Linked DNA regions of Stegostoma tigrinum. The protein of the gene in region 1 interacts with the protein of each later gene in a pairwise test. Links are inferred from orthologs where the notes say so. Each region holds a gene or a part of one and is shown on either strand. Other genes may lie near its edges. The genes, in order: efhc2, testis-specific serine/threonine-protein kinase 3-like, lonrf1l and cacnb4a.

Region 1 (7,566 bases):
ATAACTCTGCATTCTAGCAGCTGTATCCAAATGATGTCTCTTCTGTATTAGCAGGTAAACACTACAATAAGCAACGAGCTGCAAAATGGTAGAAAACTGAAACAAATTATTGGCGAAACTCACTTCTGATGCAGTCACTTACTCTGGGAAGTATTGGACTGATTAAGAAGTGCGAGGGTCGAAACATTAACTCTGCTTTTTTTCCCCTCCCCAACAGATGCTGCCTGACCTGCTGAGTTTCACCACCATTTTTTTTTAAAGCAGATACACAGTACACCCAGGTTTGTATACTTCCACCTTCCTTTTAAATCCTCATTAACTGCCACTCTTCGAGCTCTTCTGTTCTCTTCCCTTGCTGAGAATTCTTGGGACAATTTCAGGTTAGAGGCGCTATGCAAATAGTTGCTCCAAACTTTTTATTAGTTTTAATCTCAGCTATCGATGGGAGGTAGGAGCAATGTATTATTTGCTTCAGCAGCAAGTCAGGTAAAAACGGAATCTGGAGGCATGAGCAAGAGCCGGATAATTTGGAAGAGGATGCAGCGACTGCCAATTAATACGGATGGAGACTATAACAAAATATGAACCATCAAGACCCAAGGAATGAGTGATAATGGGAACTGCAGATGCTGGAGAATCCAAAATATTGAAATGTGAGGCTGGATGAACACAACAGGCCCAGCAGCATCTCAGGAGCACAAATGCTGATGTTTCGGGCCTAGACCCTTCATCAGAGAGGGGGATGGGGTGAGGGTTCTGGAATAAATAGGGAGAGAGGGGGAGGCGGACCGAAGTTGGAGAGAAAAGAAGATAGGTGGAGAGGAGAGTATAGATGGGGAGGTAGGGAGGGGACAGGTCAGTCCAGGGAAGACGGACAGGTCAAGGAGGTGGGATGAGGTTAGTAGGTAGGAGATGGAGGTGCGGCTTGGGGTGGGAGGAAGGGATGGGTGAGAGGAAGAACAGGTGAGGGAGGCAGAGACAAGTTGGACTGGTTTTGGGATGCAGTGGGTGGAGGGGAAGAGCTGGGCTGGTTGTGTGGTGCAGTGGGGGGAGGGGACGAACTGGGCTGGTTTTGGGATGCAGTGGGGGAAGGGGAGATTTTGAAGCTGGTGAAGTCCACATTGATACCATTGGGCTGCAGGGTTCCCAAGCAGAATATGAGTTGCTGTTCCTGCAACCTTCGGGTGGCATCATTGTGGCAGTGCAGGAGGCCCATGATGGACATGTCATCTAAAGAATGGGAGGGGGAGTGGAAATGGTTTGCGACTGGGAGGTGCAGTTGTTTATTGCAAACCGAGCGGAGGTGTTCTGCAAAGCGGTCCCCAAGCCTCCGCTTGGTTTCCCCAATGTAGAGGAAGCCACACTGGGTACAGTGGATGCAGTATACCACATTGGCAGATGTGCAGGTGAATCTCTGCTTAATGTGGAAAGTCATCTTGGGGCCTGGGATAGGGGTGAGGGAGGAGGTGTGGGGGCAAGTGTAGCATTTCCTACGTTGCAGGGGAAGGTGCCGGGTGTGGTGGGGTTGGAGGGCAGTGTGGAGCGAACAAGGGAGTCACGGAGAGAGTGGTCTCTCCAGAAAGCAGACAGGGGTGGGGATGGAAAAATGTCTTGGGTGATGGGGTCGTGATTGTAGATGGCGGAAGTGTCGGAGGATGATGCGTTGTATCCGGAGGTTGGTGGGGTGGTGTGTGAGAACGAGGGGGATCCTCTTTGGGCGGTTGTGGTGGGGGCAGGGTGTGAGGGATGTGTTGCGGGAAATGCGGGAGACGCGGTCAAGGGCGTTCTCGACCACTGTGGGTGGAAAGTTGCGGTCCTTGAAGAACTTGGACATCTGGGATATGCGGGAGTGGACTTCCTACAGACTAAGGGGGTGGCCATGGGCCCCAGCTATGCCTGCCTCTTTGTAGGTTACGTGGAACAGTCCCTCTTCCGCACCTACACAGGCCCCAAACCCCACCTCTTCCTCTGTTACATTGATGACTTTATCGGCGCCGCCTCTTGCTCCCCAGAGGAGCTCGAACAGTTCATCCACTTCACCAACACCTTCCACCCCAACCTTCAGTTCACCTGGGCCATCTCCAGCACATCCCTCACCTTCCTGGACCTCTCAGTCTCCATCTCAGGCAACCAGCTTGTAACTGATGTCCATTTCAAGCCCACCGACTCCCACAGCTACCTAGAATACACCTCCTCCCACCCACCCTCCTGCAAAAATTCCATCCCCTATTCCCAATTCCTCCGCCGCCACCACATCTGCTCCCACGATGAGGCATTCCACTCCCGCACATCCCAGATGTCCAAGTTCTTCAAGGACTGCAACTTTCCACCCACAGTGGTCGAGAATGCCCTTGATCGCGTCTCCCGCATTTCCCGCAACACATCCCTCACACCCCGCCCCCACCACAACCGCCCAAAGAGGATCCCCCTTGTTCTCACACACCACCCCACCAACCTCCGGATACAACGCATCATCCTCCAACACTTCTGCCATCTACAATCTGACCCCACCACCCAAGACATTTTTCCATCCCCACCCCTGCCTGCTTTCTGGAGAGACCACTCTCTCCGCGACTCCCTTGTTCGCTCCACACTGCCCTCCAACCCCACCACACCCGGCACCTTCCCCTGCAACCGCAGGAAATGCTACACTTGTCCCCACAACTCCTCCCTCACCCCTATCCCAGGCCCCAAGATGACTTTCCACATTAAGCAGAGGTTCACCTGTACATCTGACAATGTGGTATAACTGTATCCATTGTACCCAGTGTGGCTTCCTCTACATTGGGGAAACCAAGTGGAGGCTTGGGGACCGCTTTGCAGAACACCTCCGCTCGGTTTGCAATAAACAACTGCACCTCCCAGTCGCAAACCATTTCCACTCCCCCTCCCATTCTTTAGATGACATGTTCATCATGGGCCTCCTGCAGTGCCACAATGATGCCACCCGAAGGTTGCAGGAACAGCAACTCATATTCCGCTTGGGAACCCTGCAGCCCAATGGTATCAATGTGGACTTCACCAGCTTCAAAATCTCCCCTTCCCCCACTGCATCCCAAAACCAGCCCAGTTTGTCCCCTGATAATAAAATGTGAGGCTGGATGAACACAGCAGGCCAAGCAGCATCTCAGGAGCACAAAAGCTGACGTTTCGGGCCTAGACCCTTCATCAGAGAGGGGGATGGGGAGAGGGAACTGGAATAAATAGGGAGAGAGGGGGAGGCGGACCGAAGATGGAGAGTAAAGAAGATAGGTGGAAAGAGTATAGGTGGGGAGGTAGGGAGCGGATAGGTCAGTCCAGGGAAGACGGACAGGTCAAGGAGGTGGGATGAGGTTAGTAGGTAGATGGGGGTGCGGCTTGGGGTGGGAGGAAGGGATGGGTGAGAGAAAGAACCAGTTAGGGAGGCAGAGACAGGTTGGACTGGTTTTGGGATGCAGTGGGTGGGGGGGAAGAGCTGGGCTGGTTGTGTGGTGCAGTGGGGGGAGGGGACGAACTGGGCTGGTTTGGGGATGCAGTAGGGGAAGGGGAGATTTTGAAACTGGCGAAGTCCACATTGATACAATTAGGCTGCAGGGCTCCCAGGCGGAATATGAGTTCTATTCCTGCAATCTTCGGGTGGCATCATTGTGGCAGTGCAGGAGGCCCATGATGGACATGTCATCTAGAGAATGGGAGGGAGAGGGAACCATTTCCACTCCCCCTCCCATTCTCTAGATGACATGTCCATCATGGGCCTCCTGCAGTGCCACAATGATGCCACCCGAAGGTTGCAGGAACAGCAAATCATATTCCGCCTGGGAACCCTGCAGCCATATGGTATCAATGTGGACTTCACCAGTTTCAAAATCTCCCCTTCCCCTACTGCATCCCCAAACCAGCCCAGTTCATCCCCTCCCCCCACTGCACCACACAACCAGCCCAGCTCTTCCCCCCCACCCACTGCACCACACAACCAGCCCAGCTCTTCCCCCCCACCCACTGCATCCCAAAACCAATCCAACCTGTCTCTGCCTCCCTAACCTGTTCTTCCTCTCACCCATCCCTTCCTCCCACCACAAGCCGCACCCCCAGCTACCTACTAACCTCATCCCACCTCCTTGACCTGTCCGTCTTCCCTGGATTGACCTATCCTCTCCCTACCTCCCCACCTATACTCTCCTCTCCACCTATCTTCTTTTCTCTCCATCTTCGGTCCGCCTCCCCCTCTCTCCCTATTTATTCCAGAACCCTCTCCCCATCCCCCTCTCTGATGAAGGGTCTAGGCCCGAAACGTCAGTTTTTGCGCTCCTGAGATGCTGCTTGGCCTGCTGTGTTCATCCAGCCTCACATTTCGTTATCTAAGACCCAAGGAATGACGGCCGCTGACCTTCTCAAGATGGCGAACTATTTCTTGTCGTGTTTGTCGAATGCATCACACATTCGAATTTAGGAAAAACAACAACGGATTGAATGGAAGTCGGTGCAAGCAAAAATGTGAAACTGGGACAGAAGGGTTCACCGCGCAAGAATCTGCCAAAAAAAGTTTTTTTTTGTTGAAGCCCTTCTTTTAATGGCGGAATGTACGGCCCAGCATAGCGACGTCACTGTCACCGAGGCAACGGAGACTCAAACATAGAGAAGAGCCTGGAGCAGAGGAAACATGACTTTACCACTCTTACCTGGGAACACATTCAACAAGAATGTGAGTAACTTCTCTGCAAGTAATAAAAATCGACACATTTAAGAAACTGTTTTCTCTTTCAAAATTGACTTCAACACCAACCTTTGAGGAAACCCCGGGGAGTAAATGTTTGCTTGTTTGTAACTCATTTTTTAAACAAAAATTTCCATACTGTTAACATTCAACATTGTTATTCCTACTTTCTGTGCACGAGTAGTAAATACTTCCTGCAGGGTTTTGGCTAGTTGGCACAACACTGTATGAGATTGTCAGGGTGGTCACAGTTGCGTCTTAATGTTTAGAGGGAACCACTGCACTGACAATGATTGAAAATACCACTAATAAAAGGCCTGGAATATTCTCAGGGCTGGTGGTGCACTGGTTTCTTTGTTTGGAGATGATCACACCAAACTATCCAGCTGCCTACAGAAGAGATGAGTAGAGTGAACACTGGGTTGGATAGGTGTTCTGTTTGATATATGAAAACTGTCATTCAAAAGATGTCATCCATTGGAATTCCCACTTCCAATGGGTTCATGTCTGCACTTCTTGCAGTTTTATAACATTGAGTGATTGTTGAAAGATGCTTCCATCATTTTACAGGAAATTCCCCAAGTGACCACCAACAACAAAGCCCGCTCCAGCAATTCCTCCTTTTGGCCTCAAGTGCTAAACTTAGAGTGCTGTTAAATTGGCCTCTTGCACCCAAGACAGTCCTCCCTTCCTCCTTCTGTCTCATGCCTTGTACAGCCTTCACTCTGCTGACCTTACTAACTTCAATCTTTAATCTCTGTTAAAGATCTGCTTTTCTTTCAGCCCAAAAACATGGAGACTGAAAGTCTTGTCACAGTTAGCCCTGTTGCTTCAGCCTTTATTTTCAGGTATGAACATCTTGCACCTTGCTGTCAGTAAGTCTTAACATGTGCAATCCTGTCCCTGTGGAAACCACGTAGGCTTGTTGTCAAACAGAATACAAAACAGATCACATTACCAATTTACCTTAAACTATGGAGATGGTTTAAAACAATATTCTAAAATCTTGGAGATAGTAAGAACTGCCGATGTTGAATTCAGAGATAATCGTGTGGATCTGGAGGAGCACAGCAGACCAGGCAATGTCAGAGGAGCAGGAAAGTTGACGTTTTGGATCAGGACCTTTCTTCTAAAATCTTGCATTTGTACCAAAGCCACCATCTGAGTTGGAACTGTATGACTAATCCTTCACTGTCAGGAATTCTAAATCTTGTAACTCCCTTCCTAACAGTACTGTGAGTGCAGACAAGATGGATTCAGCAATTTAAAATGTGGCTCACCAGCACCTTCACGAAAGCAATCCAGGATGAGCAACAAATGCTGGCCTTGCTGGCTCACACCCTATAAACAAATCTATTTTTGAAGAAAGGGGCAAGCTCACCTTTATAAAGCAGGTTTACTTATGGATTTGAAAATGTGACTTGTGATACTAGGTGCACTTTTATCCTAAAAAAAATTGAGTAAACATAACTTTCTAAAACAACAGAAAAAGTGCAATTTTTTGAAGTTCTTTCTTCAGCCTAAATGACCTATTTATATTTTCTTTGGGTGTCTCAATGCCCAAGGATCACCAATTTATGTTAATAATTGTGTTTCTGATTGTCAGGGCAGAGTTTCAGACGGAAGCCGTTTCATACTGCCTTTATGCAAGTGTCCAAAACCCTCTAATTATTTGAGTTCATCAACGTTAAAATTTTACTAGGTGATTTTTTTTATTATAGAAGGAAAAAAGGTAGAGGTGTAAAATGTGATACTATGATAATTTTGTGTATCACTATCAAATCTATATGAAACAGATTTGAAGATGATTTTGCATTTAAATTGCTGAACTGCATTTTAGTTTGTATTTGAGCATTCTCTTTGAAGGTTTGTACTTATTCTATCTTTAGAAGGAGTTGCTTTAATATTCTGTTTGGTCGATTCAAAGTGTTGTATTAACAGCAGGTGGTAGAATTAACTACTATGAAATTGAGCACATTTTTAAAAGACTTACAAGTGACTACAAAACTATTCTGCTACTGCTGCTGTTACAGAACTGAAGACCCGAAACCATTGCTTCTGTTTCTAATATTTCTCCCACCACCCCCCTTTTATTTTTCTCTTTACTTCTTCTAGATTCTTTAATGTTATCATGCCTTCATTCATTTCTTCTCTTAGGCAATCTATCTTCCCCAATCGCTGCCCAAGTCATCAGGAATCTTCCATCTATTGTCCCATGCATGCTCCATATCTAATAAACCTACAGCTTCCCTCCATGCCCCTCTTGTCATATCTGATGGGTCTATCAAGGCACATTTCTAGGTAGTTAGAAAAATTTTCGATTTGAGTTAAAAAGGAGGTCATGTGGATGAAGTCACATCAAAGATACCCTCCATTCTGTTGTTAGGCACTAACACTTAAATAGGATGGACTTGAACAGATCAAGCAGCTCTGTAATGTGAGTAGAATTGTAATTAACCGCAATCTGTAATTTCATTGCCTGGCAAAGTTCTACTCTACCACAACGATCATACCTAAAAATAAGGTTTCAGCCTGGTGAAGTGACAACACAGGTACAGCTACAACATTGGCATCTACCCAGCAATGTGGAGCATTGCCCAGTTATATCCTGTGCAAAAAAAGCAGGAAAATCCAATCCCGCCAATACTGCCCTAGCAGTCTACTCTCCATCATTAGTAAAATGGTGAAATCAGTGACCGTACTATCAAGTGGCACTTGCTTGACAATTACCTGCTATTGATGTTCAGTTTGAGTTCTGCCAGGTCCATTTGGCTCCTGACCTCATTACAGCCTTGGTCTAAACATGGATCGAAGAACTGATCTCCTTAGGTGAAGTGAGTGACTGCCTTGATGTCAAGGCAGGATTTGACCAA
Region 2 (7,773 bases), on another chromosome or scaffold:
GAAATGCAAGAAGTCTAACTAGGAACGCAAACATGGATAGCAAACGTTTCCACAGAAAATTAAAAAGGAAGAGACCAAATAAAGTGAGTAATGGTTCTCTAGAAAGAGAATGCTGTGTTAATATTGGTTAAAAGGTGGCTCAGTGGTTAGCACTGCAGCCCCACAGCGCCAGTGGTCCGGGTTCGATTCCAGCCTTGGGTAGCTGTCTGTGCAGAGTTTGCACATTCTCCCCGTGTCTACGTGGGTTTCTTCCGGGTGCTCCGGTTTCCTCCCACAGTCCAAAGATGTGCAGGCTAGGTGGATTGGCCATGCTAAATTGCCCGTAGTGTTCAGGGGTGTGTGGGTTAAAGGGGGATGGGTCTGGGTGGGAAGCTTCAAGGGGCGGTGTGGACTCGCTGGGCCAAAGGGCCTGTTTCCACACTGTAGGGAATCTAATCTAATATAAACAAGGACATAGCAGATGAAATTAACAAACATTTTGGGTCAGTCTTCACTATAGGTCATAAAAACATTCCAGTAACATCTGCTAATGCGGAAATGGAAGGAAGGAAGGAATTTATTGAAATTACAACCACAAGGGAATGGCACAAACCAAACTAATGGAATTGTGGGCCGATAGGTTTCCAGGTCTAGATGCATTTTATTCTAGGGTCTTAAAAAAGGTGCTAATGAGGCAATTGATGCATTGGTGTCAATTTTCCAAAATTCACTTGATTCAGGAAAGATTAGATTAGATTCCCTACAGTGTGGAAACAGGCCCTTCAGCCCAACAAATCCTCACTGCCCCTTGAAGCATTCCACCCAGACCCATCCTCCTATAACCCACACACTCCTGAACACTACGGACAATTTAGCATGGCCGATCCACCTAGCCTGCAGATCTTTGGACTGTGGGAGGAAGCCGGAGCACCCGGAAGAAACCCGCACAGACAGTTGCCTGAGGTTGGAATTGAACCCAGGTTCCTGGGGCTGAGGCTGCAGTGCTAACCACTGAGGCACTGTGCCATTTAAAGGTACCATCAGACTGAACGCCCTCCCGCCCCCATTTATGAACAAGAGGCAGAAAACTATAATGCAGTTGTTACCTTGCTGTCTGTCTTGGGAAAGGTGATAGGCCCAACTGTTTCATGTAGCTGCACACTTCGGAAAATTCTAGTAATCAGGAAAAGTTGGTGTGTTTTGCTGTAAAGGAAATTATGTTTAACCAATCTATGGGTGTTCTTTATTCTATAGGAAAAGGGAAGCTTGCCACTTTACTGTTCTTGGATTTCCAAAAGGTTTTTTGATGGAGTGCAACATCAAAGGTTAGTATGCAAACATAGCACATAATCAAAAAGGCTAATAGGATGTTATTATTTATTGCACGAGGAATTGAACATCAAAAAATAAAGGTATTATGGTTCAATTATATAGGGCAGTGGTAAGACCACATTTTAAATACAGAGCCAATGTAGACACGATGGTCCAAATGGTCTACAGTGTTGTAACTCCTCTGTGATACTGTGTGCAGTTGTGGTCTTCATTTTTAAAGATGGATATAAATTGATTGGAAGTGTTTCAAAGTATGTTCACTAGATTGATACCTAGAACTTGTAGATCGTCTGAGGAAAGTTTAAACAGGCTGAGCTTGTTTCCACTGGAGTTTGGAAGAGTGTGGAGTGACTTTAGACAAGGAAAGGAAGTTTCCACTTGTGGGTGGATCCCGAACAAATAGACACTATTTTAAACTCAGGGTTCACCCTTTCAGGGCAGCGATCAGGGGACTTTGTTTTTCTCTTAGAAGTCTGTGTGACTTTGGAACTCTCCATTAGAGGCAGAGTGATTGAATATTTTAGAGAAGGTCAACAGATTCTTGGAGGTAGGGAATCAAGGGTTTTTGGGAGTAGCTGGGAATGTGAAAACAAATAGGCCATGATCGCATTAAATGATCTAGCAGGCTTGAGGGCTGAATGGTCTACTTCTACTCCTGCTTTCTATGTTGAGAAGGGACTGATGGTGTAGTGATTGGTCTGGTAGAATTTTTATTCATAATACATGTCAGATTAGTACTAGTGTTACAGCCACAGAGGGGGCCATTACTGCTTCCAGCATGCTCAGGCACCAATTAATATCATAGTAAGGCAATCAGATTAGGTGAAGATTGGCATTTGTGGTCGTGAGGACCTCAGGAAGAGACTGAGATGAATCATCAACTTGACATTCCTGGATTAGGAGGATTTCAAATGTTACAGCCTTTTTTTTTATACATTTGTGCAATCTTCATTGAATTTCCAGATGTGTGTATGTGGAGCTCATTCCCCTGGCAGCATATGACTGTTGCTCCTTCCAGTGGGTGTGTTCTGGTGGTGGGGCAGGGCTTATGCAGGCATAGTGGTGGTAGTGTCAGGGACATAAGGTGTAGGTAATAATTGCGAGTGAAACTGTTGCTTGGCTGGTCTGTAGAACAGCTCTCCTAATTCTTTATAGATGTCCCCAGATATTAGTAAGAAGAATATCGCAGGTTTGGCTGGGTAGGGTATGTCTGAAAACAATGCTAAATGGTCAACATGTTTTATTCTTGAATGTTACTGGTTTAGTGAATTGTACCAACTTAATAGAGCTAAGCGGTTTGCTGATGAAGGGTGTAAATCTGCAATGTTGACTTTCCTGCTCCTCTGATGCTGCCTAACCTGCTGTGTTCATCCAGCAATATTCTATACGTGCCTTCCTGCTCCTAAGATGCTGCTTGGCCCGCTGTGTTCATCCAGCTCCACACCTTGTTATCTCAGATTCTCCAGCATCTGCAATTCCTACTATCTCCGAAACAATTTTAACCACATCATATTGAGTGGTTTGCTGGCAGTTTAGGAACAAAGAAGCAAAGATTACATTATTCACCTGGAGTCATGTGTAGCCCAGACTCTGTAGCACAGATTTCCTTCCCTCAAAGGCATGAGTGAACCACGGAGGTTCTTTATAAATCCAGTAGTTTCATAGTCATTATTAAGATTAGCTTTATATATTTAAGATTTATTCAGTTAATTGAATGAAAACTCTCCCTGAATCAGCAGTGCAGTAACTGCCATCATCTTTGTCACATTTGCGTCGCAATAGCATAGACATTTTAATCAAATTTTCCAAAACTTCAACTATTGAGCTATTTGTAATTACAACTGTCCCTGGTAATTTCACAATCCTGATCACTCGACATTGTATTGCGGATGGTTTCCAGGAGAGCTATCTCAAACACAACATGAAGACAACCGTGAGAGTCTAGCGTGTGATCCTCGCTGCTGCTGTCTGTAAAATGACCCTGTTCCTCTCCGATATCAAAGGAGCACCAGCTTCCAGAAAGAAGCGGACCAGCAAAAACTTGGCAGTCGGCAATCTACATCCCAAACCAAACATAGAACATAACAGCACAGTACAGGCCCTTCGGCCCTCGATGTTGGGCCGATCTGTCATACCGATCTCAAGCCCATCTAACCTACACTATTCCATGTATGTCCATACGCTTGTCCAATGACGACTTAAGTGTACCTAAAGTTGGCGAATCTACTACCGTTGCAGGCAAAGCATTCTATTCCCTTACTACTCTCTGAGTAAAGAAACTACCTCTGACATCTGTCCTATATCTTTCACCCCTCAATTTAAAGCTATGCCCCCTCGTGCTCGCCGTCACCATCTTAGGAAAAAGGCTCTCCCTATCCACCCTATCTAACCCTCTGATTATTTTATATGTCTCAATTAAGTCACTTCTCAACCTTCTCTCTAATGAAAACAGCCTCAAGTCCCTCAGCCTTTCCTCGTAAGACCTTCCCTGCATACCAGGCAACATCCTAGTAAATCTCCTGTGCACCCTTTCCAAAGCTTCCACATCCTTCTTATAATGCGGTGACCAGAACTGTACACAATACTCCAAGTGCAGCCACACCAGAGTTTTGTACAGTTGCAGCATAACCTCTTGGTTCCGGAACGCGATCCCTCTATTAATAAAAGCTAAAACACTGTATGCCTTCTTAACAGCCCTGTCAACCTGGGTGGCAACTTTCAAGGATCTGTGTACATGGACACCGAGATCTCTCTGCTCATCTACACTACCAAGAATCTTACCATTAGCCCAGTACTTTGCCTTCCGGTTATTCCTACCAAAGTGCATCACCTCACGCTTGTCTGCATTAAACTCCATTTGCCACCTCTCAGCCCAGCTCTGCAGCTTATCTATGTAACAGCACGGATTTTTCACAAATGGAAAGTTTATCAGTGTACCAATCAAAAAGGACAAGGCTCGAGGTCATATTGAAAAGGAAAATGAACATTATCATGGTGTAGAGTTGGACTAGCTTTCGGGGTGAGAATGATGATGGCAGCAGCGGCGGCTGGACAGACCCCATTCTCTCAGACCGCCCTTGGCGAGGTTTTGAATTGATGTCATCAAGTGGAACGGCGTCATTTTCCCCATTCCTTGGCGGAGCTGACACATGTTGAGCTGTGGTTTGACAGAGATTTCCTGAGTTTGTGTGAGGCGCTGTGCTTTAAGGGACTTGGTGAAGGAAGTTGGCGGGGGGAGAGAGAGGAGAAGGTCCGGAGCTTCCCTTCTCGGCGCTAACTAGAGGCTCCAATCCGAACCAACTAACTGCTTACAACCCAATCCTTGATTTGTTTAAAGACTTTTAAAGCAATGACTATCAGCGAGACAGCTTGAGCAGACAGCACAAAGTCTCCTTAGTAACAGGTAAATTATGGCATCATAATGAAGTCATATTTATATCCACTGGCATGGTTTTGCCTGGGCGGTCACACCCGGGATTGCTATTTTTTTATATAATGTCCGATTTTAGAAATAAGCTGGGAAGCCGAGAAACATTGGGTAGGTTGCGTGGAACTGGCTAAATTGAGGAATGTGATCGTTGAAACTGGTTAAGAAAGTGGATGAGAAGCGATGGAAAAACTGCTCCTGTCTAAAGGATATCAACTTGGGAACACGATCGGGGAGGGGACTTATTCCAAAGTGAAAGAAGCTTACTGCAGAAACCAGCAGAAGAAAGTGGCCATCAAAATCATCAACCGCCAGACAGTACCAAAGGGTAAGGCACACAGCGGCTGAGCAACTTCTTAAAAATCGTCCCAGTTCATTAGCTACGGAATTCACGTCCACCTGATGACGTGCAGCTAATCAGTGAAGCAACCAATATTACATCAGTAGCTTGTGTTCTGCTTCAAGTGCTATGACATTTATTTTATTTTAAACTAAGGTCTGCGCACAGCGAGTAACTCCCCCGAAATGAAGATTTCACCTAGAGTAGAGACTAAGTGGGACCAACTCGAACATCACTTGGAGTCCATACGTTAACTAAAAATACATGACTAATTCTAAATGATTCTCGACTATTCAGAAAAACCCCAACAAAATAAGGCGGAGAGAATTTTTCAGTTTCCACTCACTGTTTAAAAGGGTCTGTTCATTTGGACTTTCACTTTCCAACTCATTTTTTAAATCCCAGGATCAGTAATTCGTTGCACTCAAGTGACCCGCTCCTTTAGTGTATAGCCTCACTTTCCCGGTTTCAAAATTGTTATTCCGGTTGTTGCTAGTATCTCATGAAGTCCGAGTGGCGAGCAAAGCGCCAGCTCTTCCACGACCGGAGGAGATGTTAGGGGAATCCAGCAGGAGTTTTAGATTTAGAGTGAGAATTAAGATTTATTATTCATTACGCCAGTGTGTGCATTGACCGATCAATGATTCATATCCCTTATTTCATAAAATAGCAGTATTTGTTCTGTAATCAGGATATCATTAAATAAAAATAAATTTTTAATGACCAGCAGCTAAAGACAACATATTTAAAAAGTAAACAAAACAGTCAAAACTTTTAAATCTGCAAGTTACCACAATCCCAAAGGACTAAGGGACTACTCTCTCATGAGAGAGAGAGAAAAAGACAACCGAGGGTGGTTTAACATGAGGGGCACCAAGCCTCAGGCGAGGGGACAGGTTGTAAAGGAGAGTTCCTCGTGTCTGATACTTAGAAAGATAAGGCTGCAGCTGTGAAGAAAACATGTTTCGGATCTAAACCTTTCTGCAATGGAAAAGTGGAATTAAATTTGAAACAGCGCATGAACTACAGAACAAGAACAAGAGACGAGGGCGGGGGGAGAAAGTGGTAGAATAAATGCTAAAAGATTTAAGAATGTGTGAACAGCAGGGACAATTCTGAATTAACTAGAATCCAACAACCCAATAGGAAATAAAATAGAAAAACAAATCTAGATTCGGAATTTGGTTCAAGTGTAAAGTAGTCAGTATGATCACCTTTAACATTTTTCCGCCATTTTGCTGGGAGCTAGGGGAGGTAACGTCCAGACAAGGGACGCCCCATTGTATTCCGAAACACAATGTTCATGAGTAATTTCAATAATAAAATGTACAGACAGCCGCTTGGTTGACATACGCAGCCAATGCAGAAACAGAAATGTTACACCTTACTGGCTTCTGTTAGGCTACAATTTCGCAGACGAATTAATCAGGTACTTTTTTTTTTAAATATGCAATTTGAGTTAGTCATTCGATAACTCAAACATTTGTTTACAAGATATTTTCTAACCAGGCAGATGTTATTACACAATTCTGGAGCAGGTCAGCCTTGAGCCTAGGATAACAGTGTGGAGCTGGATGAACACAGCAGGACAAGCAGCATCTCAGGAGCATAAAAGCTGACGTTTCGGGCCTAGACCCTTCATCAGAAAAAAGGGTCTAGGCCCGAAACGTCAGCTTTTGTGCTCCTGAGATGCTGCTTGGCCTGCTGTGTTCATCCAGCTCCACACTTTATTATCTCGGATTCTCCAGCATCTGCAGCTCCTACTATCTCTGATCACAATTTCAGCCTTGGGCCGAGGCCTGGTAACCCGGGAGGTAGGGACATTACCACTGCGCTACAGCAACACCTCAATATTGGGTTTCTTTATATATCTGGATAGGATGTATGCAGCCTTTACACACTCGCGAAAGAAAACAGTTGTTTTTAAATCCATTACTACAATTGGGTGTTACTGGCAAACCCAGCACTAACGGCCAATCCCTAATGCTGCTGAAACCCCTACTCAGAGCAGACCGCACCTAGTCAATAATCAAAGGGTCATGTAAGCAAAATGTTAATCACGTAAGACACACAACAGGCTTCAACCTATAAAATATTGCATTTTCCGTTTCTAGATTTCATCCACAAATTTCTCCCACGAGAGCTGCAAATAGTACAGAACTTGGATCACAAAAATATCATTAAGGTTCACGAAATCTGGGAGAGTGATGATGGCAAGATCTGTATAATCATGGAGCTTGCAGAAGGTGGGGATGTTCTGGAACACATCAAAAAGGAAGGGCCGTTACCAGAAGAACTGGCAAAAACCTTATTCCGTCAACTTGTAGCAGCAATTCGATACTGTCACGACTGTGGTATTGCTCACAGAGATCTGAAGTGTGAGAACACTCTGCTGGATAAAAGCTTCAATGTGAAGTTGGCAGACTTCGGCTTCGCTAAGAATTTCCGGACCGGGACAGCTGAGTTAAGCAAGACATTCTGTGGTAGCACAGCTTACGCTGCACCAGAGGTTCTCCAGGGAGTTCCACATGAGAGCATCAAGAGTGACATCTGGAGTATGGGCATTGTGTTGTACATCATGCTGTGCGGACACCTGCCTTTCGATGACTCCAACATTCCCAAGATGTTGTGGCTGCAGCAGAACGGGGTGGCATTCCCGCAGCACCTGGAGCTGAGCCGAGAATGTCGAGACCTT
Region 3 (7,546 bases), on another chromosome or scaffold:
AGGTTAGTAGATAGGAAATGGAGGTGTGGCTTGAGGTGGGAGGAAGGGATAGGTGAAAGGAAGAACAGGTCAGGGAGGTCGGGATAGGCTGGGCTGGTTTTAGGATGCAGTGGGGGGGAGGGGAGATTTTGAGGTGGGTGAAATCAACATTGATACCATTGGACTGCAGGATTCCCAAGTGGAATATGAGTTGCTGTTCTTGCAACCTATGGGTGGCATCATTATGGCACTGCAGGAGGCCCAGGATGGACATGTTGTCTAAGGAATGGGAGGGGGAGCTGAAATGGTTCGCGACTGGGAGGTGCAGTTGTTTATTGCAAACCGAGTGTAGGTGTTCTGCAAAGCAATCCCCAAAACTCCGCCTGGTTTCCCCCATGTAGAGAAAGCCACAACAGGTACAGCAGATGCAGTATACCACATTGGCAGATGTGCAGGTACACATGTGCTTGATGTGAAAAGTCATCTGGGGCCTGGGATGGGGGTGAGGAAGGAGGTGTGGGGGCAAGTGTAGCACTGCCTGCAGTTGCAGCAGAAAGTGCCGGGTGTGGTGGGGTTGGAGGTGACTAGGGGGAATTCTCTTTTGGCAGTTATTGTGGGGGGTGGGGTGTGAGGGATGAGTTGTGGGAGACATGGTCAAGGGCGTTCTCGACCACCGGCAGGGGGGGGGGGGGGGGGGGGGTGGGGAGAGAGACTTGCGGTCCTTGAAGAACGAGGACATCATTACTCCCAGTTCAGCATGAGAACAGAAGAATAGATTGACTGATTGATTCAAAATGCGGGCATCAGGGCCAGTTCTGCGCAAAGGACACCTCAATAAGATGGTGGACCTGCATCAAAATGGAGCCAAGACTAATATCCTTACAAGGAAAATTGCTATCGCAGTTGGGCAGGGTTTAGACTGGACTGGCAGATGAAAAGGAACCACTGTGGGAAATCACATTGGAGGAAACAAAACTGCAATGGAAATAAAGGGGTAATACACAAAATTACAAAGTAAAAGTTGTGAAAGCAAACATCAAATAGCAGACTGCAAAATAATGTTAAAAAGGCAGAATTAAAGGTACCCTATCAATGTACACATGATTAAAAATAAAGTTGCTGTTTTAAAGACACGAATTCAAGTTAACAGGTATAATTTATTTATTATTACAAAGATGTAACTAAAGGGTAACCAAAATTGGGAATTGCAATTATTCAACATTTCAGAGGCATAAGTGAAAAGACAGATGAGGTGGGATAGTGCTCTTAATGAAGAATGTGATCAGTATAATAGTTAGGAAGGAACCTACATTGAAGGATCAAGGTGTAGGAGAGGTGAGGAGCAGAAATGGACAGCAAATATTGACAAGTTTTTTTTAAAAAAACAGGCCACCAAACAGTACAAGTAGTAACGTTGGGCACAGTAGAAATCAGGACATTAGAAATGTATTTAATGAGAGCGATACAATAATATTGGTTGAATTCAATTATGCATAGACTGGGTAAACCTAATCTGCAATAATAATGAAGAGCATGCAATCTTCCAGCAGTATGATGAAGAAACAACTAGGAGTTGGGATATTTTAAGATTTAGTATTGTGATGAGAGTAACACTGCAGTAGTTCAAGAAGCTAGTTCACCACCACCTGTTCAAGGACAATGATGAGCAATAAAATGATAGGCATTAAGGGTCACTGTCTCAGTCATGTCTTTTTCTACACCTCATGAAGGCAAAAAACATGGTCTGACAAATTCTGGGAAGATGACATTTTCAATCTTGAAAACAAATTACTTTGTTCAGTTTTAATTACTATTGACTTCTCTCAAGCTTGTGATTTGGTCTGGCAATTCCTCTTTCTCGACAGTCATCTCTCCACATTTTTAACTGCCTAGTTGGACGCTTGTTTTCATTACCGTCTGAGAATGCAAGTACAGTATGATCCAGTGCAAATCAAAACTCAAACCGATTAAAAACTGGAAACAGTGATGTCACACAATAGAAGCAACTCTTACTGCCCACTGAATTTTGAAAACGTAAATGATTTGATCACGGTTACCACATTTTACACCACCCCCGACAAACTCCACTTTAACCTATTTGATTGCACGATTATTTCAGAATACAGAAAGAGAAGCTGCAAGAAATGCCCTGGCAAATAAACGGGACTCAACGCAACAAAGTGTCACAGTCACTTCTGAGTAACCAACTGTAAGTACTGTTTACATAACAAGAACACCGCCCTCTTGGAAGGGAAAGGCTGCACGCCTATGAATAACAGAAGTTGTCATTGCTTCATCCTTACGGTCCGAGAGCAGAAATCAAAGTGCAAAAACCGTAAAAGAAACAATACGCCAATCAGTCTCCTGGAGGAGTTGAGTTCTTGGCGGGGGCAGTCTCCATTTATAAAACACACGGTTCCGTTTACACAACGGGAACAGTCAGTCACAGGGAGTGAACCTTAAAGAGACCTCTAAGTACACCAAGTGTCCCCACTCACTCAGTTCCAGTTGCTCCAGCAGGGTCAATGCCTCTGAGAAGCGGCACTGGGCCAGCAGCTCCTCCAGTTTGATTTTATCCCGGGCCAGGCTGACCTCCGCCGGGAACCACTTAGTAATCAAGTGGCTCAGAATGACGTTCGGTCGCAGAAACTGAGCGCTGGCCACCTCCTCGCCACAAGCCGGGCAGCGAGGTCTCCTCCACAGGCAGCGCCGGCACCAGGTGTGCCCACAGCGCAGGGTGACAGGTTCGGCCAGCAACTCCCCACAACAGCCGCCACACTCCAGGAGGCCTTCCCCAGCCGGGACACCAGCTCCGTTTGGGCCGCCAGCTCTTCTTTTGAAGCGGTGCAGGAGACAGTGCACCAGGTCACGCAACTGGTCAGGCCGCAATGACCTTTGTTCCCCAGCCGTGGGCCCAGGCTTCTTCCCGGGATGGACAACGCCGGTGGGTCCGGGAACAAGAGCTCCGCACGGAACCACTGACATCGCTCGAGTGACGGGCGCATGCGTTCTCCGCCCCTCTTGCGGCTGGCACGTGCTCGAGAGCGCAGCTGTCATTGGAGGAGACCGAGAGAGGGGAGAAGGCTGTACAAACAGTACAAAATAACTGCGGCAAAAGTTTCATAACATGGGAGAGGGCGGGGCACGCAGACAGATTACAGTCTGACTGGGTGTAGAACAGCCAGAGTACAGACTGAGTGTGGGTGAGGTCGGCCAGGCAGACAGATTACAGTCTGACTGGGTGTAGAACAGACAGAGTACAGACTGAGTGTGGGTGAGGTCGGCCAGGCAGACAGATTACAGTCTGACTGGGTGTGGCACACATAGAATACAGAGTGTGGGTGAGGTCGGCCAGGCAGACAGATTACAGTCTGACTGGGTGTAGAACAGCCAGAGTACAGACTGAGTGTGGGTGAGGTCGGCCAGGCAGACAGATTACAGTCTGACTGGGTGTAGAACAGACAGAGTACAGACTGAGTGTGGGTGAGGTCGGCCAGGCAGACAGATTACAGTCTGACTGGGTGTGGCACACATAGAATACAGAGTGTGGGTGAGGTCGGCCAGGCAGACAGATTACAGTCTGACTGGGTGTAGAACAGACAGAGTACAGACTGAGTGTGGGTGAGGTCGGCCAGGCAGACAGATTACAGTCTGACTGGGTGTGGCACACATAGAATACAGACTGAGTGTGGGTGAGGTCGGCCAGGCAGACAGATTACAGTCTGACTGGGTGTGGCACACATAGAATACAGACTGAGGGGAGAACAATGTGACGTGTGGGACAGGCAGGTGGACAGAATATAGTGTGACCATGTGGGGCAGTTAGGCAAAGTACCACCTGACTGAGTGTGGGACAGACAAACAAACAGACAAAGGCTGAGCGTGGGACATACACGCAGAGTAGAGACTGACTGAATATGAGACAGACAGAGATAATGGGAACTGCAGATGCTGGAGAAACTGAGATAATAAAGTGCGAAGCGGGATGAACACAGCAGGCCAAGCAGCATCTTTGGAGCACAAAAGCTGACGTTTCGGGCCTAGACCCTTCATCAGAAAAGGGGGATGGGGAGAAGATTCTGAAATAAATAGGGAGAGAGGGGGAGGCAGACTGAAGATGTATAGAGGAGAAGATAGGTGGAGGGGAGAGTATAGGTGGGGAGGTAGGGAGGGGATAGGTTAGTCCGGGGAGGACGGACAGGTCAAGGGGGCGGGATGAGGTTGGTAGGTAGGAAATGGAGGTGTGGCTTCAGGTGGGAGGAGGGGATAGGTGAGAGGAAGAACAAGTTTGGGAGGTGGGGATGAGCTGGGCTGGTTTTGGGATGCAGTGGGGGGAGGGGAGATTTTGAAGCTTGTGAAATCCAACACAAGTCCTCCTCCTGGACACCACCCTCAGGCCTCCTACCCTCCCTTGACCTCTTCATCTCCAACTGCCCTCTAGATATCAATTGCCACAACCTCTCCACCCCTCTCACCCACTCCAACCTCTGTCCTGCAGAACGTGCTGCCCTCCACTCCAACCCCAACCTCACCATCAAACCCGCAGACAAGGGAAGCGCAGTTGCAGTTTGGCGCACTGACCTCGACATCGCCGAGGCCAGACACCAACTCTCCGACACCTCCTCCTACCGCACCCGGATAATGATCCCACCCCCGAGCACCAAACCATCATCTCCCAAACCACTCACACCTCATCACCTAAGGAGACGTCCCACCCACAGCCTCCAACATCATTGTTCCCCAGCCCCGCACTGCCCCCTTCCATCTCCTTCCCAAAATCCACAAACCCACCTACGCTGGCCGACCCATTATCTACGCCTGCCCCTGCCCCCTGAACTCATCTCCAACTCTCTGGCTTCCATTTTCTCCCCCTTGGTCCAGGAACTCCCTACCTACGTCCATGACACCACCCACGCCCTCCACCTCCTCCAGAATTTCCAATTCCCTGGTCCCCAACACCTCATTTTCACCATGGATATCCAGTCCCGATACACCTGCAGTCACCATGCAGATGGCCTAAAGGCCCTCCACTTCTTCCTGTCCCGCAGACCCGACCAGTCCCCCTTCACCGACACCCTTATCCGCCTGGCCGAACTTGGCCTCACCCTCAACAACTTCTCTTTCGATTCCTCCCACTTCCTACAGACAAAGGGGGTGGGCATGGGTACCCACACGGGCCCCAGCTATGCCTGCCTCTTTGTAGGTTACATGGAATAGCCCCTCTTCTGCACCTACACTGGCCCTAAAACCCACCTCTTCCTCCGTTACATTGATGACTGTATCTGCGTCGCCTCATGCTCCCAAGAGGAGCTCGAACAGTTCATCCACTTCACCAACACCTTCCACCCCAACCTTAAGTTCAACTGGACCATCTCCAACACATGCCTCACCTTCCTTGACCTCTCTGTCTCTATCTCAGGCAACCAGCTAGAAACTGATGTCCATTTCAAGCCCACCGACTCCCACAGCCACCTAGAATACACCTCCTCTCATCCACCTTCCTGCAAAAATTCCATCCCCTATTCCCAATTCCTTTGCCTCCGCCACATCTGCTCTGAGGATGAGACATTCTACTCCTATACACCCCAGATGTCCTCGTTCTTCAAGGACCGCAAGATCCCCCCACTGTTGTCGAGAACGCCCTCGACACAGTCTCCTGCATTTCCCGCAACTCATCCCTCACACGCCATTCCCGCAATAACCGCCAAAAAAGAATCCCCCTAGTTCTCACATACCACCCCACCAACCTCCGCATACAACGTGTCATCCTCCGACACTTCCGCCATCTACAATCCCACCCCACCACTAAAGACATTTTTCCATCCCCACTCTTGTCAGCCTTCTGGAGAGACCACTCGCTCCGGGACTCCATTGTCCGCTCCACACTTGCCACCAACCCCAGCACACCCGGCACTTTACCCTGCAGCCGTAGGAAGTGCTACACTTGCCCCCACACCTCCTCCCTCACCCCCATCCCAGGCCCCAGGATGACTTTCCACATCAAGCAGATGTTCACCTGCACATCCGCCAATGTGGTATACTACATCCGCTGTACCCGTTGTGGCTTCCTTTACACTGGGGAAACCAAGCAGAGGCTTGGGGACTGCTTTGCAGAACACCTATGCTCAGTTCACAATAAACAACTGCACCTCCTAGTCGCGAACCATTTTAACTCCCCCTCCCATTCCTTAGACGACATGTCCATCCTGGTGCCACCTGCAGTGCCATAATGATGCCACCCGAAGATTGCAGGAACAGCAACTCGTATTCCGCTTGGGAACCCTGCAGCCCAATGGTATCAATATCGATTTCACAAGATTCAAAATCTCCCCTCCCCCCAGTGCTTCCCAAAACCCACCCAGCTCATCCCCGCCTCTCTAACATGTTCTTCCTCTCACCTATCCCCACCTCCGACCTCAAGCCACACCTCCATTTCCTATCTACTAACCTCATCTTGCCCCCTTGACCTGTCCATCCTCCCCGGACTGACCTATCCCCTCCCTACCTCCCCACCTATACTCTGCTCTCCACCTATCTTCTCCTCTATCCATCTTCAGACCGCCTCCCCCTCACTCCCTATTTATTTCAGAATCCTCTCCCCATCCCCCTTTTCTGATGAAAGGTCTAGGGCGAAATGTCAGCTTTTGTGCTCCTAAAATGCTGCTTGGCCTGCTGTGTTCATCCAGCTCCACACTTTGTTATCTTGCAGACTGACTGCGTTTGGGACAGTCAGGGAAAATACAAACTAACTGCCTGGGTTATAGGCTGACTAACAGAATGACTGAATGACAGACTGACAATTTGACAGAGTGACTGATGGTATGTCAGGGTACCTCAGCCACGGGTCTCCAAATCATTCTGTTACTGCAAAGATCATGGGTGCTCACCACATTTCAGAAGTAGTACTTGGAGGGGCAAAATAGTCCATGCCTGCTTACAAAATGGCATACAGAAGCTTTTCAAAACTAAGCAGCCTGTTCACACAATGATATACGATGGTACCTTTGAACAAAGCAGACAGAAGGTCAGTAAAGGAATGCTGTGTGCTCCCATCTGAGGAAGCTCTGATAAAAGGATGCCTAAGGACAGATAAGTGACTAATTTTAACCTTATTTTAAAAGGATGGTTGTTCCAGTAAATGAATAGCATGAGGTCCTAGATTAAGTCCCTCGGCAACTGCAAAAGTAAACAGCTAAAGTTACTTTGTAGTAAATAGTTGCTTCTTTGAAACTATCTGCAATATTAAATAGACTCTAGTTTAAGTATCCTTAATCATAGAAGTAGTTTTCAATATATAAACAACGTATAATGTAAGCATTAGCGGAAAAGCGTTTAAACCTAGATGTGAAAGTTAATTAGGCTCAGGAAACACTTAATCTTATGCCCTAAGCAAGATAGAATGTTCACAACCCATTAATTACAACGTGCTAAGAGTGTAAGTAGCTGCACAACTTTAGTTTTTATAACTAGATTTATAATAGAAATTAACCTTATAGCAATTAGTCAAAAGTAATTATCTTCTGTATTTTCACGCATCTAATTAGGACAGTGGGAAATATTAGAAGAA
Region 4 (7,361 bases), on another chromosome or scaffold:
TGAAATTACGATAGGCCTCTACAGACTGGGTTGGAAATCCCAATGTCCAGCTATTAGTCTATACATTTTGGTACCTTAAGTGCAAAATCAATTTTTTGCAGTGATAGGCCTCTACAGACTTAAGAATTATAGAATCCCTGCAGTGTGGAAGCAGGCCATTTGGCCCATCAAGTCTACACTGACCCTCAAAACAGCATCCCACACAGACCCCCAAAATCCCTCAGCAGAGAAGTCAATAACTGGTGTTGTGTGAGGCAGACCCAGAACCATTAGGGAGCAGTGGAGGACATTTTTTGTTCACTCAGTGAGTGGTGGAGATCTCAAATTCACTGCCTGAAAGGGTGTTAAAGTTGAAGTCTTCACTGCAAAAAATTGATTTTGCACTTAAGGTACCAAAATGTATAGACTAATAGCTGGACATTGAGATAAGACTGGATAGCTCTTTTTCAATCAGCACAAAACTGTGCTTTATCATTTAATGATCAGTTGTTATGACACAGAAGGAGGCTATGGTCCATCGTGCCTGCACCAACTCGTCAAATGAGCAATTTTAACCGCATGTTAATCTGCTGCTTTTCCCCATACCCCTGCATGCTATTTTATTTTAAATAGTCATCCAATGCCCTTTTAATGCTGCAAGTGAAACTGCCTCGATCACATTTCCAGGCACTATATTCCATACCCTAACTGCTCGCTGTGCGCAGGTTTTTCTAACATCACCTTTGCTGCTTTCACACATCACTTTAAATCTATGTCTTCTATTACAAGCAGAGCAACTTAAGAATTATAGAATCCCTATAGTGTGGAAGCAGGCCATTTGGCTCATCAAGTCTACACTGACCCTCAAAACAGCATCCCACACAGAACCCCAACTCCCCACCCCTGTAACCCTGCATTTCCCATGGCTAACCCAACTGGAATGCACATGCATTAACCCTAAGGGCAATTCAGTGTAGCCAATTCCACTTAACCTGCACATCTTTGGACTGTGGAACGAAACTGGAGCACTGACAGGAAACCCATGCGGACACAGGGAGGATGTGCAAACTCCACACAGGCAGTCACTCAAGGCTGGAATTGAACCTGGGTCCCTGTCACGTGAGGTAGCAGGGCTAACCACTGAGCCACTATGCCACCCTACTCTACCCAGGCTGTATATTTTTACACAAAGTAAATGTGGTATCCCATTCCAGAATCTTGAGAGTTCAGTGTCATGTATGAAAATCCTGCATGAATGATGATCACAGACCTTTGATAACCTGCAGCTCCCATTGCATCAAGCTGGCAAGCAACTCAACTTGGTCCTAATTAGCCATTTATTTCTTTCCAATTTTCTGTGGTAAATTTTGCATATCTCTCTTCTGAAGTCACTGATTTCTTGTTGAAGTTTTGTCCTGCAGGTACTTTCCTGCTCAGTAGAAATGTCGTTCTTCCTTTGTGATCTTCAACATTGCATACTTGTGGACATTCTAAAGGTAGCAATGCTGTAACACTTGAGAGTTATCATCACCTGGTACTAATAAGTGTAGTGATCAGAAGAAAAACTCTGGCTAAGGTTCGTGTTCCTAAATTAAAGCACAATGACCAACTCCATGGCCTCTATTAGATCTATTTAAATTTCAAATATGGAATATAGAACAACAAAGAACTTACAGCAAACTGGACCACAATTATCCTTATGTTACAAATGGACACCCTTTTATCCTATTTCACACAATAATCCTCATGTTGTTTTGATAGTCATTGAAAAGAAATCCTATGAATTCATTCTAGCGGCTGAAAACATTTTGGAATACTGCATTCAACTCTTCTCTCCCTGCTCTTAGAAGAGTGTTGTTAAACTTGAAAGGGTACACAAAATATTTGCAAGGATGTTGCCAGGGTGGGAGGGTTTGAGCCATGGGGAGGGGCTGAATAGGTTGTGGCTATTTTCCCTGGAGCATCAGAGGCTAAGGGAGTGACTTTTTAGAGGTTTATAAAATCATGGTGGTTATGGATAGGATCAATAGCTGAGGCCTTTTTCCCAGGATATGGGAGTCCAAAACTAAAGGGCATTTACTTAAGAGATAATGGGAACTACAGATGCTGGAGAATTCCAAGATAATAAAATGTGGGGCTGGATGAACACAGCAGGCCAAGCAGCATCTCAGGAGCACAAAAGCTGACGTTTCGGGCCTGGACCCTTCATCAGAGAGGGCATTTACTTAAGATGAGAGGGGCAAGATATTAAAGGGGCCTAAGTGGCAATTTTTTCATGCAGAGAGTTGTGCGTGTATGGAATGAGCTGCCAGAGGAGGTGGTCGAGGCTAGTACAATCACAACATTTAAAAGGCATCTGGATGGATACGTGAATAAGAAGGCTTAGAGGGATATGGGCCAAATGCTTGCAAATAGAACTAGATTAATTTAAGGTAACTGGTTGGCATGGACAAGTTGGACCAATTGTCTATTTCTGAGCTGTACGTGTCTATGACTGTCTGACTCTACGCTTTCAGGAGTTTAGACAAAAGAGAGGTGAATGCAATGAAATGTTCAAGACCATAAGTTAGACTGACAGATGCTGGCAGCTGTTTTTTCCTGACCTAGCAATAGAGAACTAGGAACAGAGCCTAAAAGCAAGGGGCCAATTGTTTAAAACTGAGATGAGGTGCAATAGCTTCACTGAAAGGGCTCTGAATCTGTTGAATTCACTAACTCAGAGGGTTGTGCATGTATCAATACATGCACCAATATTCTTAAGGCTGCGAATAGGCATGTCTCAAGTCTCTCAGGGATGTGGAGGTGGATTGCGAACGTGAAACTGAAACCAAAGTGATGATCAGCGATGGTCATAGAGTCTTTTAAGAAAGGAAGGTATGTTTATGTCAATCTTACCTGAATAGGGAGGTGAAGGCCTAGTGGTCATGGTAGGCAACTAATCCAATGACCCAAACCCTGAGATCTGGTTTTGAATCCTGCAGTGGTAGGTGAATTCAACTCTTTAAAAAAAAGGAATTAAGGATCCCATGATGATTGTTTGGGGGTTAAAAAAAATTCACTAATGTCCTTGAGGGAAGGAAACTGCCATCTTTACACGGTCTGGCCCACATGTGACTCCAGACCCAGAGCAATGTGTTTGACTTTTAAGCAAATTCTGGGCAATTAGGGATGGACAATAAACACGGATCCAGTCGGTGGAGTGCACACTCTGTGAATGAAAATGAGGAAAAAAATCTGGGCCAGATGTGACTCCGGATTCTTAACTACCCCGTGAAATGACCTAGCAAGCTACTCAGTTCGGGGACAATTGGAGGTGGATAATAAATGCTGGCCTCAGTGGCAACCGCGTCAATATGGGAATGCATAAATTCAAATTAAAAAAAAGTGAACGCCGGTTTTCTCCTGCTCGTCGTGTTGTTTTGAAGCGCCGACACTGGGGTTCTGAAAAGTTCAGAAACTGGCACAATCGCTTTCTGTTATTGTATCATTGCTGTATATGCAGATACTGTCCCTGGAAAGATCAACTGGTGTCACCGTCCTGAAATGGAATAAAGTAGCTTCATTTTTTCCCCAAAAAAAAACAAAACCAGAAATCGCCGGAAAAGCACAGCAGGTCTGACAGCTTCTGTGGCGAGAAATCAGAATGAACGCTTCGAATGGAGTGACCGTTCCTCTGTAGGTAGCGGGGGGGGGGGGGGATGGATTTTAAATCCACGCCAGGGATAGTTCAGGAAATGCACAGCCATGTGTCAAACATTGTGCACCTGAGCACTGCCGAGGCGCTGAGATTATTTAATCTGCACTTCTCTATAATAAAGACTCGTGGTAATAATTACAAACATGATGACCTGCCACTCGTAATTCTTCCTGGCGGTGCAAATGATCCAAAAAAACGATGCGTTTGCTGCAGTCGTTAGATTGGGACGTCTTTCGCACAGGAGGAAAAAAAAGGCTGTAATTTCCCCGCCAGCTCCCCGAAGGTGAACAGCCCTGACTGTACAAACTGCGTTGAACACACCAGGCACATCTCCGCGGACAGGAGGCCAGATTGCACAAGGTCATTCTTCCCAGCCCGGTTCCTAATTTTCCTCGCTGCATTACTGACCCCTCCTCCTGTCATCCCTCCCCCTCCCTAGGCGGATATATTTCTCGCCCCGGTTTCCTCCTATAATTCCTGACACCTTCCTGACTGGCTGCAGGGGGCTGTGGGGGTGGTGAGGGCAGCTACGGCCGTGCCTGGGACTGAGTGAATTCCTGAGGGGGAGGGGTGGGAGGTGTAGGGATCAGACGGTGGGTACGGTAACTCACCCCTCCCTCTTCCATCAGCCAGACAGCACGTCTCGATGGCCAGCTCCAGCGGCTAGTGAGAGCCACCAGGGGCTGGAGTAGCGCCAGCTCGATGGACTGGATCCCTCATTCCAGCTAAAGCAGCTCCAGCAGCGTCCCGAGCTCATGATCTATCTGAAGATGTCCGGAGTTGGACCTTTATTCACCAAAGACATTCCAGGCGATGGGCTACAGCCGCCCATCTTTCAGGTAAGGGATTGCCTCAAATTATTAACCTCTGAGGAAGGGTCACTCGACCCAAAACCTTAATTCTGATTCCTGTCTGCAGATGCTGCCAGATCCGCTGAGCTCTTCCAGCAATTTCTGTTTGCGTTTCTGAAATTGTTAGGGGGGGGGGGGGTTGACAGGCTCCTTTCTCCTGCACGCCAATTTGTGATTTATTTTGCATGACCGTAGCCTAAACAGGAGCGTGAACTGATGTTGAAATAATCAAAAAAGTGCTACTTTTAATTATTCCATTCCGTGAGCACGCTCAGATAAGGAATGCAACTTCTCTTTTTCTAAGGTTTCCCCTCTCATTGTAAAGAGAAACTTTTTTTGCAAATTAATTCTGTAAGGCTGATTCCTTTTTATTAGAAAAGACAGTTCATTTTTTCTAACGCGTTGTATGTTATTGCTACGGCCCACTGATTCAATGTTATATGATTTGACAGTTAAATCGAGCAGCAATTCATTCACGTATCCCCTTTCTCTTCCCTCCTCCCATGTTCGGCAAGTTGACCCGGGTGAACAGGAGGAGGAGCAGGTTGAAACGTTCCGATGGAAGCACATCGTCCGAGACAACTTCCACCAGCTTCATTCTCCGACAGGTAGGGCACGATAGATGTTTTCCAATCAACCTTTCCTGAGGAGGCGGAACTTGAGCCCTGATCCCCTGGACGAGAGGTAGGGACGTTACCACTGTGTATCAGGGGACCTAAGCAAAGACTAGGATTCTTCTCCCTGCACTTCGTGGACTTCGTCAGCAGAAAATCCTCGGTAAATGCTCATGACAGCGATTCCTGAACTTTTGAACCCATTAATTAAAAGTACTACCACCGTGACATTGCAGCTTTGTGACACTTGATAGCCTATTTAGCCCTGAAGAAATTTAAATATGGCACAATTTATATTTTTTGATAAGGAGATATATTGACTTTGCCAGCACGTTCTATTTTCTTTCCATTAAAGCCTTTTATTTAAATCTGAGAAAGCTGTTATAATATAAATTGGGTCTAATTAGCATTATCCATTAGTGTCATCACTAATAGCATAATGATTACAAGCTTGAAGAAGGGTTTCGGATTTAGAGATGTGACTTTGTTGATTGATAGAGATAATTTTGACTCTCAATGAGTTGCCAGAGGAAGTGGTGGAGACAGGTACAACTACACTATTTAAAAGGCATCTGGATGTATATATGAAGCAGAAGGGTTTAGAAGGATATGGGCTACATGCTGGCAATTGGGACAGGATTAATTTAGGATATATGGTCAGCATGAATGAGTGGACCGAAGCGTCTGTTTCCAAGCTATACTGCTGTATGACTCTACTATGACTTGAAGGTTGTGAGTTGGGGATAGGAGGCGTTTGTGGGCAGCTAGGAGCGGTGGTGATTTTTTGTTTCAGATTCCCTTTGATTGGCTTAATGTCATGACTAAACGCAAAAGGTCGAAAAGTGGATGACCCCATTTACAACCGTCTGAAATGAGTATTGCCAAAAAAAAGTTATGCCAGACAGGAACACTCTGGAATGAGCTTCTCTGCTCTAACAACTGTAATGTTCCAGATTAAGAAATGTTGCTGCTGCTCTACGTTCAGATCAAGAATCTATACTGAATATACTTGTGTCACTAAGCTGTGACATGCCTAGAGTTTAGTATGTTACCACCCTCATGATTCCATGCTGCTGGGCAGATTGAGAAAATGACATTTGTGAAAATGAATATTTTTATTCATTCATGGGATGTCAGTGAAATTGTCAGCATTTACTGCTTATCCTGAGTTCCTCTTGAACTGATGATGTGATTAGACGCTAAAATAAAGTGGATTACAATCTACAACAGTTGTGTTAGAGATGTACTGCGTTTTTAAACACATACACAACTTTGAATGAAAATCACAGAAGCATTCTTCACATTTATGTTTTGCTATATTGTGCACAAGTGCAAATCTTTAATCATAATGTTTATTTAAAATTTTTTTTTATTGATGAACACATTTATATAGCATCTAATCATGTCATCAGTGATGTCACAGAGCTCTCAGGTAATCTGTACCATATTTACTACTGTAAAGGTGAGATGCAGCAGCCATTTTGCGCAGAGCAATACTCCACCAACAACAATAAGGCAAATTAGCAATTAATCTATTTATGGTAGCTTTGGGTGAGGAAGCAACATCAGAAATGGCATTGGGAGGGTTTGGTGGTTCTTTCTGATTAGCAGTATCAATCTTTAATATCTGTCTGAGGGCCTTGGTTTCACAATGCATTCAAATGGTAGGAGCTCTGGCAAAACACCACTGTTCAGCTATCAAGCTGAATTATACATTGAAGACTTGGTCTGATGCAGTCATAAGATGATTCTCCTTGGCCATCAATGCTACATTGTGATGGAAGAAATCTGCATTCAAATTATTGAACTCAGCAATTGCAACAATTCCATGCACTGTATCCACTCACTTTGATACTTTGAACCTGAAAACTCCCATTTGAGTGATTATGGTATTATAGGCTAAAGAAAACTTATTACATGTATGTACATAGTTTTGAATTATATTTATGAAGATTCAGACAATGGGTGAGGGCAGTGCTGTGGATGTTGTGTATTGGACTTTCAGAAAGCATTTGGTATCATGCCACATGGCAGTTTGGTTAACAAATTTAAAAATGTTTGGGATTAATGTGTCTTTGACAGCATGGATTAGTTGTTGGGTAACGGATGATAAGTAGAGATGGCCATTTCTCAGATTGGAGACAAATTCAAAGTGGTGCTTCCCCGATATTGGTGTTGGGACCCTTGCCTTTTTTGATTTATGCGAACGATTTGGAGATG

Evidence for each region.
Region 2: the proteins of efhc2 (region 1) and testis-specific serine/threonine-protein kinase 3-like interact in binary tests that used the Homo sapiens proteins (3 or more experiments, as listed by UniProt). The two-hybrid records come from large-scale screens. The link is inferred for Stegostoma tigrinum from reciprocal best matches to the Homo sapiens genes EFHC2 and TSSK3.
Region 3: the proteins of efhc2 (region 1) and lonrf1l interact in binary tests that used the Homo sapiens proteins (3 or more experiments, as listed by UniProt). The two-hybrid records come from large-scale screens. The link is inferred for Stegostoma tigrinum from reciprocal best matches to the Homo sapiens genes EFHC2 and LONRF1.
Region 4: the proteins of efhc2 (region 1) and cacnb4a interact in binary tests that used the Homo sapiens proteins (3 or more experiments, as listed by UniProt). The two-hybrid records come from large-scale screens. The link is inferred for Stegostoma tigrinum from reciprocal best matches to the Homo sapiens genes EFHC2 and CACNB4.

Annotation. Positions count from the first base shown.
Region 1 is NC_081365.1:42,803,266-42,810,831, forward strand, and holds the start of efhc2 (EF-hand domain-containing family member C2), read left to right. Parts: upstream 1-4,564; 5' UTR 4,565-4,639; coding exon 4,640-4,681; intron 4,682-7,566. UniProt on the Homo sapiens protein: Microtubule inner protein (MIP) part of the dynein-decorated doublet microtubules (DMTs) in cilia axoneme, which is required for motile cilia beating.
Region 2 is NC_081377.1:46,954,628-46,962,400, forward strand, and holds the start of testis-specific serine/threonine-protein kinase 3-like, read left to right. Parts: upstream 1-4,763; 5' UTR 4,764-4,921; coding exon 4,922-5,066; intron 5,067-7,192; coding exon 7,193-7,773. UniProt on the Homo sapiens protein: Serine/threonine protein kinase required for spermatid development and male fertility.
Region 3 is NC_081354.1:109,817,983-109,825,528, forward strand, and holds the start of lonrf1l (LON peptidase N-terminal domain and ring finger 1, like), read right to left. Parts: upstream 3,037-7,546; coding exon 2,478-3,036; intron 1-2,477.
Region 4 is NC_081360.1:87,471,818-87,479,178, reverse strand, and holds the start of cacnb4a (voltage-dependent L-type calcium channel subunit beta-4a), read left to right. Parts: upstream 1-4,231; 5' UTR 4,232-4,431; coding exon 4,432-4,515; intron 4,516-5,042; coding exon 5,043-5,135; intron 5,136-7,361. UniProt on the Homo sapiens protein: The beta subunit of voltage-dependent calcium channels contributes to the function of the calcium channel by increasing peak calcium current, shifting the voltage dependencies of activation and inactivation, modulating G protein inhibition and controlling the alpha-1 subunit membrane targeting.